Linked DNA regions of Elephas maximus indicus. The protein of the gene in region 1 interacts with the protein of each later gene in a pairwise test. Links are inferred from orthologs where the notes say so. Each region holds a gene or a part of one and is shown on either strand. Other genes may lie near its edges.

Region 1 (9,431 bases):
TGAAGCAGCTGGCCCCCGGACCACTTTGCCAGCAAGCCCTCGGCAAACGAAGCTGCTGACGTACACTTTCAAAAGTGACGATCAGTCATGCTTTGAGCTCTTACCCACTGCCACTGCCCTGTCCCTCAGTGCACTGAGAAGCCAGCAGAGGATGATGAAATCACAAATGCGCTGTAACACTCTCTGCGACTGGTCTCCTCCAGTGAGCCTGGCACACCCGTAAGGCTGCAAGGCCAGAAGAACAGGCAGCAGTAACTGCACCCCCACTGCACAGCCAGGGGCTGACGGCTGGCTGACAGGTCGCAGTACCACCAAGGCCACGAGAGGGCAGGAGAGCCGAGGGGCTGGGAGAATTCCTGTCCCAGATGAGTGGCTAGCACAGGTGATCTCAGCTCCTCCCATAAAAAGTTTTTAAGACAGCATAAGCGCACAAGGGAAAAAAGAAGAGGGGCAGGTGAGAGTTCACGAGAGGATTTGGAGGATCACTGAATAATCCCACAAGGAGTTGGTCTCACCAATGAGGGACTCAAGCTTCAAGGGAGCCTGCAGCAGCCCATGACCCAAAACACAGAGCTGACACAGGACGGGGAGAGGTCAGCCTGTAAAGGGAACTGGGGTCATTGCACACAGAAGGACTCTCCAAAGGCCCCTGCAGACAAAGTAGAGCAGCCCCCAAGCAAAGAGGCAGAAGGGTCTTCCTCAAAGTTGCCGAAAGGCCAAGAGAAAATAACTCTGGCACTTAGCATTCAGGGTCCCCAGCACAATGACGAGCCCCCCACTCACCCAAAGGGCAACTGGCGCATTTTCTCTTGCTTCACTTTTTTTTTTCACTTCTTAAACCTGGGCAACTATAAGTACCAATGTTTAAGGAGTATTTTTCCATATGAAGGCAAGAAGGCAATATTAAACAAAGGAAGTGATACCAGAGGAAGTATCAATCAAAAGACAGAAATGAAAAAAATCCTGATCCGTATCCTCAGTCAGAGAGAGAACACGTTCATAAAACAGTGAGTTGCTGTGAAAAAGGAAAAGAACAATCATTGGAAATAATGATAGAAGTTAAAATTTTAAACAGGATCAGAAGGTAAAACTATAGCCCTCTCAGAAAGGAGAATAAAAACAACACAAACAAAAATTCTGAGGGTCTCCAAGGCACCCATCATTAAACTAAGGGAAATCCTAAAAGGGAGACGAGAAAATCAGAGCGCAATAAATTCCTGAACAAATGATACAAGAGAATTTCCCAGAGGAAGGACAGGCCTCAGACCCAAACAATATTCTCACAGTGAGAGCCCACACGTCTTGACACACCGTCATAACCCCAAAGAGGACCCCAAAAACTTACAGGGAAGGAAAAGTTACCCAGAAAGGATAAGGCACCTTGGCAGAAGGTCTCCCATTGAAATGAGGAAGCCAAGGTTAAATTACAGCCTCCTAAACAAAGAGCCCTGGTGGTGCAGTGGTTAAGAGATGGGCTGCTAACCGAAAAGTCAGCAGTTCAAATCCAGCAGCTGCTCCTTGGAAACCATATGGGGCAGTACTACCCTGACCTGTATGGTCGCTATGAATCAGAATCAACTTGACAGCAAGGGGTTTGTATCCTGGTTTGGTCCTGAACCAACCCAGACATATAACAAAAGAAACAACCAGGATGACACTGGTGTAGTAATACTTGTGGAGTATCCTGCCAGACAGAAAAAGAGGACAGAGGACTGGGGGAAGTGAGGGGCTTGGGTAGAAGTCGCAGAGATTTGACACTACCCTTGAGAATTTAAACAATATAAGGAGTCAGCGGGAGCAAAAAATGCAAAGAAGAAAGGCCATCACAGACAACAGAAAAAATGAAAAGCTGTACAAGATGGGAACTGCAATACGTGCATAGAGGAGAGGACAGAAAAGGTGGGCTACGGTGTGAGGAGCCCTATCATAACAGAAAGTCAGGACCGGGTAACACTGACAGAACTTACGTCAGCTTATTAGTTGGGCTGCAGAGAACTGCCTGAGGAAACTAAGAGGTGCGTTAGGTCTGTGAGGAGCAGGACTGACGAGTGGGGTGAAGGACTGCTGCTTTCCATTATGAGCCTTTCCTTGACGTTTTTATTATGTAAATTACGTTGGTAAAAATTTTAAGTGTGTGTGTTGTTGTTGTTTTAAAAACACAGATTGAGCTCCAACTCTGGCTGTGTGTGACTTGGCCAAACTGCTTAACCTCTACGGGCCTCAGTCACGTCATCTGTAAGTCACGTCATCTGTAAAATGGGGCAACGTCTACCTCAAGGATCGTTGGGCTGAGAAACCTGTGAAACGCTCAGCAGTCCCAGCACACGGTACAGGGCCCATAAAAGGAGCGGTCTTTTAAAACTTAAAGCCGCTGTTAAGAATCCAGCATTCCCCTGGATATCACACAAATTCTTACGTCTTAATGGCAAGACAATGGGGAAAAAGAACTAAATACATGGGATTGATTGTACAGGCAGTTTTGGTGTTTTCTTTTATCACTGGATACCCAAGGCTTCAGATCCTAAGCTCACCTATGACACACTGTCCTAAAAGCTGAAGGTTAAATAGTCGGTTGACGTGCTTCCCGTTGTTTCCCTCACTCAGGACAACTCGGCTATTCCAAGTTATTCTTCTGTCTCTTCAAAAACGTCCAGTTACATCTCTACCCTTAGAAAGTGCATCAGCTAGTTCATCTTAGTGGAACAAAGGCCAGGCGATCTGCTTCCATAAAGATTACAGACAAGAAAGCCCCATGAAGGAGTCCTACTCTGTAACACAGGGGTCACCAGGTGTCAGGGGAGCCAACCTGACTGCAGCTAACAAGTTTTACCAAAGCTATTAGGCCTTGGATTACATTCCAAGGCAGAACCAAAAAACTAGTTGTCCATCAGGGCGATTCCAACTCATGGCAGTGCTGCAAATGGTTAACGCACTCGAACGCTAACTAAAAGGTTGGAGGTTCCAGCCCACCAAGAGACACCTCGAAAGAAAGGGCTGGCGATCTACTGCCGAGAAACCTACCACTGAAAACCCCATGGAGTACAGTTCTACTCTAACACACCTGGGGTACCAAGAGCAGAACTGGTAACTCCTAAGAGAGAAACCACCTGCTCCATACAAACAGACTCTAACCTGGGCCCTCCACTAGTCAAAGTAGGGCAAGCTCACTACCCTTGCAGTGCCACACTTCTCAGTTCTTCAGGGAGTGACTTCTCCAGTGTCAACACAACCCCACCATCTCGTCAGGGAAAAGAGTTAGTCCTCTTTTATAGCCATGCGTCCACTATGTGAGACGGAGTGTGAATCTCCATTTTTTGCAGTGGGGGTGGGGTAAGGGGGGAACATTCAAAGCAAAAAAGGCTGCACTTCAAAAGGATTAAATCAGACACCGCAAAAAGTGAGGGGTCAAAATCTGAAATCTTCATTCATGAAGATCTGTAAGAGCACTGGATTAGGTCATCTCCAAGGTCTAAAGCTGCCTCTTATTTTCCTTTGTGAAGCCAGCAGTAAATTAACAGAATTCTTTTCACATTCTAAGAGTTCAACTTCACATTAGTAATTTTGGAGGTAGCAAATCACTTAAAAGTCTGACTTAGAGCAACTACAACACGGGGTAAGAGTTATGCCATACAAAGCTCATTGGGGTTTTATACGTTTTAAGTTTTTCTGATTTTCTAGAAGACTGTAAAATCAAGCATGACAAGATTTTCCGTCTAGAAGTCCTGGGTCTGCAGAGGGTGACACAGAAGTCCAGAGAAGTGTTTTGCCCACGGAAGCAAAATCATGTCATCTCCTGCCGGGCAACAGCTAGCATCACCCAGGTCTCTGCTGCTGCTGCAGTGGACTGCTCTCCTTGGTGACGTCTTGCCATGCGCGTGTAAAATGCCACTACCCACTGGTGCATCTCAGACTCTGCCGGTAACGGGGTAACTAACGCACCCCAAGTGCACGGCCATCGAGTGCAATATGTGGGGCACTGGGGCGACCCCAGCACCACACAACTGCAGCGAGCCCGCTGCCTTAGAGTCGCCGCGAGCCTACAGGACAGAGTAGAACTGCCCCAGCGGGTTTCCAAGGCTGTAATCTTTACGGAAGCAACGGAAGCAGGCTGACGTATCTTTCTCCCGCGGAGAGGCTGGTGGGTTCGAACCGCCAATCTTTCGGTTAGCAGCCCAGCGTTTAACCACTGCGCCACCAGGGCAGCACCCAGCGACCTGCTCAAAACCAGGGCAGCGCTTCTCCTCCGTACCTACCACACGGCGGTTCACGGGGAAATCGACAGGTAATGGCAAAAAAGAAAAGGGACAACGACCCCTCGCGCCCGGCCCCGGCGACCCGCCGCTGTCTGAGTCCCGGGCCCGTGAGCGGAACGGAGCCCGGGCGGGGCACCGAGCGGCGGGTCCGGGCCGAGGCGGCGGGTACCGTTGGCGGCGGCGGCGGGCGACGGGGACGCGGGGCCGGGGGCGGGGCGGAGGCCGCGGGCGGCCGGGCGGAGGCCGCGGGCCGCGGCGGCGGCGGGCGGGGCGGGAGGGAGATCTCGCTCTCGCTCTCGCCCCGCGGGAAGGGGGGAGGCGGAGACGCGACCGGCTGCGGGAGCTGCAATTACCGTGTGGGCTGCGGAATTCTCGTGGTGTTTGTCGGGGAGATGTGATAATGGCGTCCGTCCTCGCGAGAGAAGCCGCCGCTCTGCGCAAGCGCTGCGCGGCCCTCCCCTCGGTCCGCGGCCCTGCGCGCTCTGCGCAGCCGTACGGGGTGCGCAGGAGGCGGGGGGCGGGGCCCGGGGGCGAGGCCTAGCCTGCGAGTGCCCCCGCGTGCCCAATCGCCGGCTAGGGCCGCGAGTGAGCGTACGCGGGCGTTTTTCTCCCACGCCCCGGTTGTGGTTTCTGGGCTTTTTATTTCTTCTTCACGCCCTCGTTCTCTCTGCTGCCCCGTGATGGGCGCTTCAGCGGAACGTTTGAGGAGTTTGCCTTCCGTTTGAGAGCCAGTAAATGGGCATTAGTCCTCCGGGGGACTACACATCCCGAGGCTCCCTGCGCACGCCGCAGGCAGTGCATTCTGGGTTTTGTAGTCTCACCGTCTGGACCTTGCCTGCTGGTAGTTGTAGTCTCTCCGTACTCTGGGCGCCCCGTCCCGTACCCGCTCCCTGGCCTGTTGGGACTTGTAGTTCATTAAGCACCCCTCCGGATCCGGCCTCGTGCTGACCTTTTTCCTCTGATATTCCTGAATCATTGGGTGGAATTTTTCCAACAAATAGATAGTGTTCAAGGTGCCATCGTGCCTGTCCAGACAATATTGAGTGCACACGCTGTTTTTTTGGTGAAAATATACACAACAAAACATAAATCAACAATTTCTACATGTACTTTCACTCATGTTGATTACATTCTTCAAGTTGTGCAACCATTCTCACAATCCTTTTCCAAATTATTCCAGCACCATTAATGTAAACTCAATGCCCCCTAAGTTTCTCATCTAACCTTTCTAGTTGCTGTTGTCAATTTGATCACGTAGAAATAATTTAAAAGAGCATAATGCTCAAGACAGACATCATTAACTAAATTAAGCTAAACTATTGTTTGGTTTAAAGATGACTTCAGGGGATGGATTTGGAATAAGGTTTAAAGATTTCCACAGGGTTTTTAATGGCTGATTTTTTTGGAAGCAGACTTTTAGAAAGCCAGGCACCTCTGAGTAGACTTGAACCTCCAAACTTTCACTTAGCAGCCATGCATATTAAACGTTTGCACCACCCAGGGATTCCTATAACATCCACCACTCATCTGTCAGTTTGTTGTACTGTGGTGGCTTGCATGATGCTGTGATGCTGGAAGCTATGCCACCGGTATTTCAAATACCACCAGGGTCACTCATGCTAGAAAGGTTTCAGCAGAGCTTCCAGGCTAAGACAGACTAGGAAGAAGGACATGGAGAACTAATTCTAAAAGAATTGGCCAGTGAAAACCTTATGAATAGCAGTGGGACGTTGTCTGATATAGTGCCAGAAGATGAGCCCCCCAGGTTGGAAGGCACTCAAAAGATGACTGGGGAAGAGCTGCCTCCTCAAGGTAGAGTCGACCTTAATGACGTGGATGGAGTAAAGCTTTCAGGACCTTCACTTGCTGATGTGGCATGACTCAAAATGAGAAGAAACAGCTGTCAATGTCCATTAATAATTGGAACCTGGAATGTACGAAGTATGAATCTAGGAAAATTGGAAATCATCAAAAATGAAATGGAACGCATAAACATTGATATCCTAGGCATTAGTGAGCTGAAATGACTCGTATTGGCCATTTTGAATCAGACAATCATACAGTCTACTATGCTGGGAATGACAACTCGAAAAGGAATGGTGTTGCATTCATTGTCAAAAAGAAGGTTTCAAGATGTATCCTGAAATACAATGCTGCCAGTGATAGGATAATATCCATACACCTACAAGGAAGACCAGTTAATACGACTATCATTCATATTTATGCACCAACCACTAGGGCCAAAGATGAAGAAATAGAAGATTTTTATCAGCTGCTACAGTCTGAAATTGATCGAACGTGAAATCAAGATGCATTGACAATTACTGGCGATTGGAATGTGAAAGTTGGAAATAAAGAAGAAGGATCAATAGTTGGAAAATACGGCCTTGGTGATAGAAACAACGCTGGAGATCGAATGATAGAATTTTGCAAGACCAACGACTTCTTTATTGCAAATTCTTTCTTTCACCAACATAAACGGCAACTATACACATGGACCTCGCCAGATGGAACACACAGAAATCAAATTGACTACATCTGTGGAAAGAGACAATGGAAAACCTCAATATTATCAGTCAGAACAAGGCCAGGGGCCGACTGTGGAACAGACCATCAATTGTTCATATGCAAGTTCAAGCTGCAACTGAAGAAAATCAGAGCAAGTCCACGAGAGCCAAAACATGACCTTGAGTATATCCCACCTGAATTTAGAGACCATCTGAAGAATTGATTTGACGCATTAAATGCTAGTGGCTGAAGACCAGATGAGTTGTGGAATGACATCAAGGACATCATCCATGAAGAAAGCAAGAGGTCATTGAAAAGACAGGAAAGAAAGAAAAGACCAAGATGGATGTCAGAGGAGACTATGAAACTTGCTCTCGAACGTTGAGCAGCTAAAGCAAAAGGAAGAATTGCTGAAGTAAAAGAACTGAACAGAAGATTTCAAAAGGCAGCTCAAGAAGACGAAGTAAAGTATTGTAATGACATGTGCAAAGAGCTGGAGACGGAATTCCAAAAGGGAAGAACACACTCAGGGTTTCTCAATCTGAAAGAACTGAAGAAAAAATTCAAGCCTCGAGTTGCAATAGTGAAGGATTCCATGGGGAAAATATTAAATGATGTAGGAAGCATCAAAAGAAGATGGAAGGAATACACAGAGTCATTATACCAAAAAGAATTAGTCAATGTTCAACCACTTCAAGAGGTGGCTTATGATCAGGAGCCAATGGTACTGAAGGAAGAAGTCAAAGCTGCTCTGAAGGCATTGGCAAAAAACAAGTCTCCAGGAATTGATGGAATATCAGTTGAGATGTTTCAACAAACAGATGCAGCACTGGCGGTGCTCACTCATCTATGCCAAGAAATATGGAAGACAGCTTCCTGGCCAACTGACTGGAAGAGATCCATATTTATGCCTATTCCCAAGAAAGGTGATCCAAACGAATGTGGAAATTATAGAACAATATCATTAATATCACACGCAAGCAAAATTTTGCTGAAGATCATTCAAAAAAGGCTGCAGCAGTATATTGACAGGGAACTGCCAGAAATTCAGGCCAGTTTCAGAAGAGGACGTGGAACCAGGGATATCATTGTTGATGTCAGATGGATCCTGGCTGAAAGCAGAGAATACCAGAAGGATATTTACCTGTGTTTTATTGACTATGCAAAGGCATTCGACTGTGTGGATCATAACAAGTTATGGATAACATCGCGAAGAATGGGAATTCCAGAACACTTAATTGTGCTCATGAGGAACCTTTGCATAGATCAAGAGGCAGTTGTTTGGACAGAACAAGGGGATATTGATTGGTTTAAAGTCAGGAAAGGTGTGTGTCAGGGTTGTATTCTTTCACCATACCTATTTAATCTGTATGCTGAGCAGATAATATGAGAAGCTGGACTATATGAAGAAGAATGGGGCATCAGGATTGGAGGAAGACTTATTAACAACCTGCACTATGCAGACGACACAACCTTGCTTGCTGAAAGTGAAGAGGACTTCAAGCACTTACTAATGAAGATCAAAGACCACAGCCTTCAGTATGGATTGCACCTCAACATAAACAAAACAAAAATCCTCACAACTGGACCAATGAGCAACATCATGATAAACAGAGAAAAGATTGAAGTTGTCAAGGATTTCATTTTACTTGGATCTACAATCAACGGTCATGGAAGCAGCAGTCAAGAAATCAAAAGACGCATTGCATTGGGTAAATCTGCTGCAAAGGACCTCTTTAAAGTGTTGAAGAGCAAAGATGTCACCCTGAAGACTAAGGTGCGCCTGACCCAAGCCATGGTATTTTCAATCACATCATATGCATGTGAAACCTGGACAATGAATAAGGAAGACCGAAGAAGAGTTGACGCCTTTGAATTGTGGTGTTGGCAAAGAATATTGAATATACCATGGATTGCCAAAAGAACAAACAAATCTGTCTTAGAAGAAGTACAACCAGAATGCTCCTTTGAGGCAAGGATGGCGAGACCGCGTCTTACATACTTTGGACATGTTGTCAGGAGGGATTAGTCCCTGGAGAAGGACATCATGCTTGGCAGAGTACAGGGTCAGCGGAAAAGAGGAAGACCCTCAACAAGGTGGATTGACACAGTGGCTGCAACAATGAGCTGAAGCATAACAACAATTGTAAGGATGGTGCAGTGTTTCGTTCTGTTGTGCATAGGGTCGCTATGAGTCAGAACCAACTCAACGGCACCCAACAACAACAACAATGATTAACATCACATGCAAGTAATATTTTCCTGAAAATAATTCAAAAATGGTTGCAGCAGTACATCGACAGAGAACTACCAGAAATTCAAGCAGGATTCAGAAGAGGACCTGGAACAAGGAATATCATTGTCAATACCAGATGGATCTTGGCTGAGGGCAGAGAATACCAGAAAGATGTGAACTGGTGTTTTATTGACCACGCAAAGGCATTCAGCTGTGTGAATCATAACAGATTGTGAATAACATTGCTGTGATGGTTAAGGTTATGTGTCAGCTTGGCTGGGCAATAATTCTCAGTGGCTTGGCAGTTATGTAATGATGTATTTATCCTCCATTTTGTGATATTATGTAATCTATTTCTCAATGGGATGGATTGATACAGTGGCTGCAACAATGGGCTCAAACACAGCAAGGATTGTAAGGATGGCACAGGACTG
Region 2 (9,765 bases), on another chromosome or scaffold:
CTGTCCTCAACCCCCGAGCAGGGGGTGATGGGGTCTCAGGGTAGGATAGGGTGGACTCCCCTTGGTAGCCCTGGGCTCCCTGGAGGCCCCCTCAGTTGTCCCCTGCAGCAGGGGCTCACCAAACCGCAACCGTCGATCTCAGCAGCGACAGCGAGAAGGAGGGCTCCTGAGGCAAGCAGGGGGAGGAGAAGGGGAGGACCAGTATGAGGTCAGGGAGGGGAGCGGAGATATGGCAGGTCCTCCCATTCCTCCCGCCTGCCAGGCCTCCAGCGTCATCACTTGCCACCCCTTCCTCTCCCCCACCGGCACCCTGGGCCCCTCCCTGTCTAGGATCCTGAGTCCCACCGTACCTTTCTCTTTCCCCTCTAGTCCTAGTTACATCTCCAGGGTCCGTTTCCCACCCCATTTTTACTCCTCCTCCTCGCTCTAATTTTTGCCCAACCTAACATCCCTCATCCCTCTTCTCCCCTTTTTCCCACCATTTCCCCACCTGTTGCCCCTTCTCTCTGACCTGTTTTCTCTACCAACACCCTTCCCCTTGGACAGCCACTCTCCCGCCCTCTGCAGCCTCCCTCCCACCCCTTCCTAGTTGTCAGTGTTCCAGTTTCGACCTTCCCCCTCTGTCGGTTGCCCAGCACTGGCTCCTTCATTCCCCCAACCAATTCTCCCCAAGCAGCTCAGGGCAGGGGGCAGAGGCAGATTGGGGGTGGGAGAAAACCCCCTCCCAAGTCTGAATCCCTCCCACCGTGGACCTTCTCAGGGACTCCAGTCCCCATCTCTGCCCCAGCTCCAGCCCCAATGCTTCCACCTGCGCCTGTCTCTTCCTCCCTTATTTCCTCAGCATGGCCTGTCCCTGTTCTGTCCAGTCCATATCCTGTTCTCAGTTTGGATCACTGCCCCCTTTTCATTCTCCCACCTCAGTAAATACCTAGAGAAATGGCAGGTGAGGTTGGGCAAAGGCTTGCCTGAACTCCAGGGCAAATAAAACTTGGGAAGAAAGTCAGGGCTGGGGGGGAGAAAAGGATGGGAAGCCTAGAGGCTAGGAGGAATTTTTGCCAACCAATAAAGAGCTAGAGGCAGGAGGCAAAAATGGGGGTGCAGTGCATGAAGGTGGGCTAAGCTCTGGAAAGCAGAAGGGGGCTCAAGTTTGGGAGCTGCAAGGGAACAGGAAGCAGGGGTGGGGAGAGAGCTAGAGGCTAGAGTAAAAGGGCACCTTAGTCTCAGGTGGGACAGGAAGACTGACAACCAGGGGACAGGGCGGACGGAGAGGCAGACACACCCCACATTCAGCTACTGGGCGTTTCTCTGGCCTCATTTCCCCACATACTGCCCCATGGGGGGCAGAAAAGGATACTTTTGTCACCCACCCACCACTGCCGTCAAGTCGATTCCACACACAGAGGAGAAATATCCAGGTTAAGGGACCCTTCCTCAGGCTTCACATTGAGGATAGAGTTCTACCTCTCTGCAAACCTCACCATCGGGGTGTAACTAGACCAGTTAACAGTCTTGAGTGAAAGAAGCCTGCATGTGCCTGATTCTGCCACATGGGCTGGGGCACAGGTGTCTGTGTCCATGTCAGACCCCTGGCGTTGCAGGCGTGGTGGTGTTTCTGGGTCACAACACGCTGGCACAGGATATGGCTGCTGCCAGATGCCCAGTTAGCTCATTGTGACTGAGTGCAAAGTATTCATCAGCTCTCGCGTGGGTGTCCCCGTGTGTGTCCGTGTGTCTGGGTGTGTGGCTGTTTTTTTCCTGGCTTTGATAGGGGGATGAAGTCACCGTCTTGGATGGAGCTGGGCTTAGCTTCCTTCCTCTGCCTTGGCTTGAAGCCCCACAGCCAAGGATAGGTAGCAGCTCCCCTAGGAAGGATCTCTGGGTGGGAGGCAGGGGAAAGTAGATGAAATGGTGATGGAGGGTCTTAGACAGCATCACACAGAGACAGCAGACTGCAGAGTATGGATTTTCTTTGATTTCAATAAATATGTGCCATGGTCACCTTTTTTTTTGGTCCCATTTCCTGGTTTTATTATTTAGTGTATGGTCGCCATAAGTATACTTGGCCCAGAGAGTGGCCAGGAGACCCTGAGAGGAGCAAGAACTAGAAATATAACCCTGGCATGTCTTGGAAGCCTGCTGCTGGGGACTGGATGCTGGAATCTCAGAGAGGGAGTGTATGATTCCAGATGCTTACAACTTTCCGGCCACTCACTGGACGCTTGACGGACATAATTCCAGGTTTTGATAGAAACACTGTCTAAAATCTGATTCACCCTCTGGATTTCGCGCTCTTGCAGGAGCTCGTGTCTTATATACGTTTGTATCTCAGGAAAGCACCGGGGCTTGCATAGAGTAGGTACCCAATAAACACTTGTCAATATTGAGTTGTGAGTTGTGAAAAGACTGTGAGAAAAGGATGGGGAAAGAATGCCTGGTAGGGAGTCACAGGCATAAAGGCAGGGAATCCCTGTGGTCAGAGTGGGGTAGGCCTCACTGCTCTGTCCTCAGTGGAACAGGAAGATTGGGTGTTGTCAAGAACTGTCCATGTGCATTGGCTGTTCTCCGAAGCCTCAGCCCAGGTGTCCTCAGCTCTGAGCTTCTATCCTTGAATGATCCTCCAGGTTCCTGTCCTGACCTTAGGAGGATAAGGAATAAAAGATATAGAAAAGGAAGAAAGGGAAAGACAAGGAGAAAGGAAAGGAAGACACAGAAAAGTAAAGGCAATTAAGGGCAAAGGCCTGAAGGATAGAGAGAGGGGAATGAAGAGAGGCCAGAGGCTGCGATCCAAGGAAGCAGTCCCAGAGAGGGGAAAGACAGAAAGCATTTGTACTGGGCTTCTGTTTACAAAGCACTTCCCTTCACAGTGCAGTATTTTATCAGCCCCACTTTGTGGCTGGGGAAACAGACTTATGGACTTTAACGGACTTTGCTAGGGGTGGTGAAGGTGGGCCTCAACCAGGTTTTCTGATCCCAAAGCCTGTAGTCTCTCCCCTCACCCAGCAACAGCCCTGGGAAATGACAGGATTGATGACTTGGGGCAGAAATAAATTAAGTGGATTCTTGAAGGACTTGTTTGAGAAGGAAGGGTGGGGAATCTGGATTTTTGAAACTTCTTTCTGCATCCAGTCATTACGTAGATTCAGTTAGAAGAAATTGCCAAGTACAAGACAGGGGGGTCAACGTGCCATTACTGAGAGCTGAGGAGGGGTGCAAGGAAGGGGAACATGGAGAGAAAGGACTGAGCCTGAGATCAAAAACGGAAGAAAACTAAGAGACTAGGGCTGAAAGGGGGGCAAGAGAGCCATGGAAAGAAGGGTTTAGACCCTCAAAACTTCCTTTGCCTGGAGACATGGGTGTGGGAAGAAGGGAGGAGGGAGGACATTTCTATCTTGTGACAAAAGAAAGTCACACAATTGTTTTGTTCTCTGCTCTGGGGCGGGTGGGCGCCCGTATTTACCAGAGGGACTGAGGTCGCTGTGGCAACCACACATCTGGGCCCCGGAATCCAGATGTGCTGTATCCAGAAGCCATAGCATAACGATGAGGCAAACATTAGGTTCCCCAGTCCGGCCCCCACAGCTGGGAAGAGGACAAGAGGACTGGAGTGGAGAAGGGGGGTGGGGACGAAGGAGGAGAGGACTGAAGCGGGGGAGAAGAGAGGAAGTAATGGAAAGGGACAAGGAATGTGGATAAAAGAATGGAAAGGGAAAAGGGGGGTGGTATGAAAAAGAGAGGCAAGCCCAGGGTCAGCAGCAGGAGATGAGAAGACCAAGAGGAAAAAATAGACGGTGAAGCAGAGGAGGAGAAAGGGAAAAATACAAAAGAAGCAAGAAACCAATAAAATGAACAAAGGATCCAAACAAAACCCACTGCCGTCAGGTCCATTCCAACTCACAGTGACCCTACAGGACAGAGTAGAACTGCCCCATAGGGTTCCCAAGGCTGTAAATCTCTAAGGAAGCAGACTGCCCCATCTTTCTCCTGCAGAGCAGCTGGTGGGTTTGAACCACTGACCTTTTGGTTGGCAGCTGAGCGCTTGACCACTGCACCACGAGGGCTCCTTGAACAAAGAATAAAGGGTCAAAAAGAGGTGTTAACTCATAGTGAGGGAGAGAGCAAAGAAAGGCAGAAAAGTCTAGAGAAAGGGAGAGACTATGGGGTCAGGGATGATAGAGAAATCAACGGCGGGGATCCTGAGGACAGAAAACAGGAGGTGGTAGCACAAGGAAAGCAGGAGAAAAAAGATATGAGGGCCCAGGACAAAGAGGCCGATGAGGCAAAGGGCACTGGCCTGGCATGCTGAAGTGGCCTTGGATGGGGTGTGTGGCCTGAGGAATGGAGGTCTACACGGGTTTGGAAGAAAGCAACCCAGAGCTTGACCTGCCTTCCCCCGACAGTATGTATAACCAGTCGCCATGCCTCCTTCCCACCACTCCACTCCCTCAGCCAAGAGAGACCAGGCTCCTACTTCACACTCAAGTGCCGGCTGCCTTTGCTACTCAGCAGAGGTGCGACCCACCACACCCTAGAGCCTCCAGTCTGAGATGCCAGCACTTCAAGCACTTTCCTGAGCTGGGGTCAAGGAGGAGAAAGAACCATGGAACCCAGATGGGAACAATGCAGGAAGAAAAGGGCACTGTAGAGGAGGAGAGAAAGGAGCAAGGCATAAGAAAAAGACATGTCTACTGCGGACCAGGCTTTGCGAACGTCATCTTGTTTATTCTCATGTCTGCCCTGAGGTCAGAGTTTCCCATTTTATAGATGGGGAAACTAGGACTCAGGGTGTTAGTTATACATCAAGGACATTCACCAACAAAAGGCAAGGCAGGGAATCCAATTCAGGTGATCTGTCTCCAAAATCCTTGTTTATGCATTACACCGCCTGGTTAAGGCTGGGATCACCCCCAGGGACCCTGGGACAGGAAGCGTGGGTTGAGCAACCCAGGGCTGCCCTCTTGAGGGAGAAGAGGCCTAGTTCCTGGGAGCCCCAGTTCCAGGTCACCATAGTGACTTGGTCTGTTTTCACCCCAAACACAGTAATGAGCTGGGGGAGAGCCTGGCTGGACACGTGAGGTCCTTCAGGCCGGGCTTCTGGCCCGGGCGGCCCCTGTCCAGTCATCTGGGCCCTGAGCCCAGGCCCAGCCAACACCCTCCAGCTGACCCAGGACAAGCCTGCAGGGTCAGGCCTGAGGCGCTGCTGGCCAGGCACCCCCGCAGGTTGGGACTGATTCTTAGCCCCTCACCCTTTTCCTGCTCCCCTTCCCCGTAATCAGAATATTCAGCCTGTTGTTCCAGACCTGCTCATGTCCTTTCCTTTCCCCTGGACTCTCAAGTCTGCCTCCTCCAGCTCAGAGTTAAGAGGGTGCCCCCCAATATCCTCCCTCCAGAATACCACCTCCCTCTCCACTGTGGCCCTCCTTCCAGGCTCAGAGCCCTCTGGCCCCAGCTCCTGTTGTTTGTTTGAGCTGTTCACCCTGGAAAGCAAGGGGAGGGAGGGGAACCTACTGTAGAGCAGGGGACCCAGAGAAGCTGTTCACCCTGAAGGGTGTGGGGCCCCCTGTCCTTCCTGTTTACTCACATTCCAGAGATCTGTATCTCCTGATCTATCAAACCATGAGGCATCCCACCCCCCCCACCCCCACCCTGTAATTCCCTGCTAGACACAGGCATACCCAGTTGCAGGGGAGGGGGCAAGGAGATGACATGTGGTCTGTGATTCTATACCCATCCTATCTCTGGGCCAGCTGTGTCTTCAGTGCTTGGTTCTTTGATCCTGGTCCCTATCAAAACCACCTTCCTCCAAACTCCCCGACCCCAGTCAGGAAGGCAGTCACTATTCCTTCAACTCCCTTTGTTTATTTAATAATAAAAAAGAAGACATGCACACACATAAACCTGATCTCCCGCCAGCATCCCTCCTTTACTCCCAGTAACTAACTCCAAAATGTAAAACTTCCCTTGTCCCACCTGAGGACTCAGTTCCCATTCCTCAGACAGACAAAAAAAGGATAAAGAGTATGCAGGAGCCCACCCTCAAACTTAATGCCCTCAAAGGAAGAAGCAGGGACTGAGGGTCCACTGAAATGAAAGGAGCCCTATATACCGAAGAGGGAGTGAGAGGAGAGGTAAATCCCTCTACCTCCAAATTAGTGCTTGACCCCACACCCTGTCTTTCCTTGACTGATTGCCCCAAGCCCAGGGAGCAGGGAAATGAGCAATATTCCCGCTTGGTCACCCCCAGCCCCCACTCCCCAATTTGAAGTCAGTGTGAGCTGTTGAGGTCAGGGGTGATTGAGGTAGAGGGGTTGGTGGGAGGCCTGGTGGGCCTGGCTGGCTGTAGAAGCTGGCAAGGGGCCCCCTGTGGCATTGCCGGGGGTCGGGGACGGCTGCTTTCGGAGCGAGGGGGGCACCGTGGAGGTCTTGATGTGAATCACCCTGGTGTCCATGACCTCGCACTCGATCTGCATCATCTCCTCATAGTCCCCTGGGGCTCCGCGGCCCGAAAGGGTCTCTGTGAGAAGGGGAAAGGCAAGGGAGCCGAGGAGGGGAGGCATACAGAGGAGGGACCAGGAAAGCAGAGGTGAACAGGAGGAAAAGATGGGCGAGGAGGAGGCAGCTCCATGGGAGAGTTGAAGGGGACAGCAGGGATGGAGTATGGCGCAGCGAGAAAGAAAGAAAATGACATAGATGAGAGTGGAGTCATACAGGTGAAGGAGTCAAAAGGAAAACTGAAGTGAGGGTCTGGCAGGTTCCCAGGCCGCCCCCCTCTGCCCAGCCACCTACCCAAGCACCTTGGGCAAAGGAAAACCAGCACCCTTGTCTTCCTCCCATCAAACTCTCCTCAATTATTTCTCTCCACCCATTTCCTGCTTCTTCTCATCTATGAGTCTAGCACTTCTCTGGGATATTCCATTCCTCTCCCTAATTCCCCCCTCAGCTCCTCATGCTGGATCTCCCCATCTGGACTTCCCCTTTCCTCAATCTCAGGACCCCTTCCCACACCCTGCAGGGAACGAATTACCATTGGGGGCCATGGCAGGCATCACCAGAGACATCTTAGGCCGGGAGGTCTTATTGTGGCTGATGGCTGGGAGCAGCAAGTGGTCCTGGGAAAGAGGGGCCAGGCCAGGAGAATGGAGGAAAACATACCAACAGGTTCCCTGGCCCTACTCTATACCATCCCTCTGAAAGTAGACTGCTGGACAACTTAGGAGGATGGAGATGGGGCAGGGAGGAAGACTCACCCTTCGAAAGGAGACAACATAAAATGTGTCTTCCCGTCGGTCGATTGCATCCAGGAACTCTGGCTGGGAACGGTCTGGGTGGCGATACAGCTGCAGTTGGCCCACAGAACCCCTAGGCAGGTGGGAAACAGGATTTGGGGGTTCCCACTACAAGCAGGGGGAAAAGGACGAGAGAAAGAGACAGGAGGTCCCAAAGGATAAGGGAGCATAATCCCGTGGGTGAAACAACAGGGAGCACAGGACAGCTCCTGGGGCACAGCTATTTCGAGTGGAGCGTTGGTTAATCAATAAGTACCCCCTTCCTATACTCACCTTTCTGGGGGCCCCAGTGGTCGAGTGGGGACTGCTTTAACTGGAGGCGACTCCTTCCGTAGCTGAGACTTCTGGAAGGAGAGGTTTCTGAGGATTTGGAGAGGGTGAAGGGAGAGGGGAAACAGAGAGCCAGCCCCTGGAAGCTGATGCCACCTCACACCCACCCCACCACTTCCCCTAAACAATCCCTCACACCAACCCACTATACCCACTCAAAATCCCCAGGACATTTAGCCCTTGTCTTCATGTGGCCATCCTCGAACCAGCCAGCCCCACCCCTCCTACCTGTCTCTCTTGGGCCCTTTGAGGGATCTTCCGCCGGCCTCTCTGGTGGCGCTGGACCCAGCCACTCAACTCATCTGCAAGCCTGGGGAGGCAGAGAAGAGTTCATGCTGCCATGCCAGGCCAAGACTCCCACTTTCCTTGCCTGCACACAGGAGTGAGACAAGAGGGCAAGGAGAGCTGGTGCTTCAGCACAGGAGGACAGCCAGACCACCTGTGGAGGGGCCTCAGGGAGGAGGGAGGGAGGCATGCAGGGAGGGCAGGGGCGGAAGCGCTCAGCCTCAGCCATAAATCCCCCACACCTCAGGGACTCCGTTCGGTTAAAGTGACGGCAATCGGAGGAGAGAAAGAGCTGGTCCAGGTCTCTCAGTAGCAGCTCCTTGGCACCCCCAGGGAAGGCTGTCAGATTCCTGGAGTGAGGCCAGGAAGAAGCAACGATCAGAGATTGCCAGCACTCCCACAATGACAGAGAAGCAAGCAATGACAGCAAGAGAACAGCTCTGGCTCACCCCAAAAAGAAAGGGCACCCCCAAAGGAGAAGGAGCCCTCTTTCGCTCCTCACCTAAAACTCGGTCGGCTTGCAGGGCTGGGCTCGGGCTCTTCAGGCCCCTGGGAGGAGCCCTGGAGGGGTGAGACTCCACGAACTGGCTCTTGCTCTGAGAACTCCAGCAGGTGCCTCCGGAGCCGAGGTTCCTCTCCGCTCACTTGAGGAGAGACAGGAGCCAAAGGAGGCTCACTGATGCTGTGGAGGACAGACAGAGCACAAGGAGGAATCCCTGCTTTAGTGAGTGTCTGGGTAAGAACAAGGGCTCTGCAGGCAGGCTGCCGGGGCCCCAATCTGCTGTACAAACCTGTCTTTCATCTGTAATACAGGAATGAGAACAGTACCTACTTCACAGAGCCAGGACACATGAGAAAAGGAGAGCACTTAAGTTAGAGCCTAGAACTCAGTAAGTGTCTAATAGTCATTATCTTTATCAACATCAGCACCATTATCTCATCCGGGATGTACCATGTATAAGAGAAATGATGGAGCAAGAAAAGGCTGGCTGGAGATACCACTGGTGCCAAGGCGACCACAACTGTCAGCGTGTGAGTGGAATGGGAGTGACTTGCCAAAGCAGGCAAACAGGCGCTGCAAGGTGGGCTCCGCCACAGAAGGTTCCGGGGTGGTGGGGAAGGTCTCACCTGACAGGCCCAAAGTTGAAGGCAATGAAGAGGAGGAAGATCATGATGCAGACCACCTTCCTGTTTCCAGACCCCAACTTGAGCTCACTGTTCTAAGATGCAAAGGAAGAGATAAGAAGGAGGGTAAGGCATTCCCTCGGAACCGGTATTGCTGCTGGCCCTCCATGGACAGACCAGCCTTACCTTAGCCAGCAGGGCCTCGAGCTGCCGGCGGAGGGCAGCATTCTCCCGACGCAGCTGCTGGTTATCGGACAGCACCGCCTGCAACCTTGCCTCCAGCCCCTGCAGATACTCTTTCTTCTTCCTGCGGGACTGGCAGGCCGACTCCCGGTTCTTAATCATCCGCTGCTGCCGCTTCAGCAGCTTTGCCTAGGCATCCAGGGGGTCAAAAAGAGAATGAAAGGTGGGTGGGAGACGGGGACCATGGCCCCAGTTCCAGATACTGGCCACCCAAAGCTAACATAGGCCCTTCCCCCGCCTTACCAATCCCTACCTACACACCCAGAGTGGGGTTTTTCCTCTCTACTAAATCAGTCCAGAGAAGAGGTCCTTCTCTCAACCACTCCCTGCTCCTGTTCCTCAAAGCTAGGAGAAGTTACGCTGCAGAAGGAACTTCTTCTATTCTGGTAGAACCTTGGTTCCTCTCCTTGGCGGGTTTCCTTCTTCTGTGTCTTCCTTTTCAAAGCACAAACTTTAACCTTGCTATAATTAAAGAATCCTTTACCTGGTTTTCCCCCAG

What was found.
Region 2: the proteins of BANP (region 1) and TNXB interact in binary tests that used the Homo sapiens proteins (3 or more experiments, as listed by UniProt). The two-hybrid records come from large-scale screens. The link is inferred for Elephas maximus indicus from reciprocal best matches to the Homo sapiens genes BANP and TNXB.

The regions. Positions count from the first base shown.
Region 1 is NC_064839.1:53,409,247-53,418,677, reverse strand, and holds the start of BANP (protein BANP), read right to left. Parts: upstream 4,706-9,431; 5' UTR 4,607-4,705; intron 4,283-4,606; exon of another isoform or gene 3,763-4,282; intron 1-3,762. UniProt on the Homo sapiens protein: Controls V(D)J recombination during T-cell development by repressing T-cell receptor (TCR) beta enhancer function. Binds to scaffold/matrix attachment region beta (S/MARbeta), an ATC-rich DNA sequence located upstream of the TCR beta enhancer.
Region 2 is NC_064819.1:93,588,146-93,597,910, forward strand, and holds the start of TNXB (tenascin-X), read right to left. Parts: upstream 4,197-9,765; 5' UTR 4,015-4,196; intron 167-4,014; 5' UTR 1-166. Other genes in the region: ATF6B (cyclic AMP-dependent transcription factor ATF-6 beta), read right to left, coding at 6,282-6,511, 7,022-7,106, 7,245-7,356, 7,557-7,627, 7,842-7,923, 8,141-8,248, 8,401-8,580, 9,027-9,118 and 1 more. UniProt on the Homo sapiens protein: Appears to mediate interactions between cells and the extracellular matrix. Substrate-adhesion molecule that appears to inhibit cell migration. Accelerates collagen fibril formation. May play a role in supporting the growth of epithelial tumors.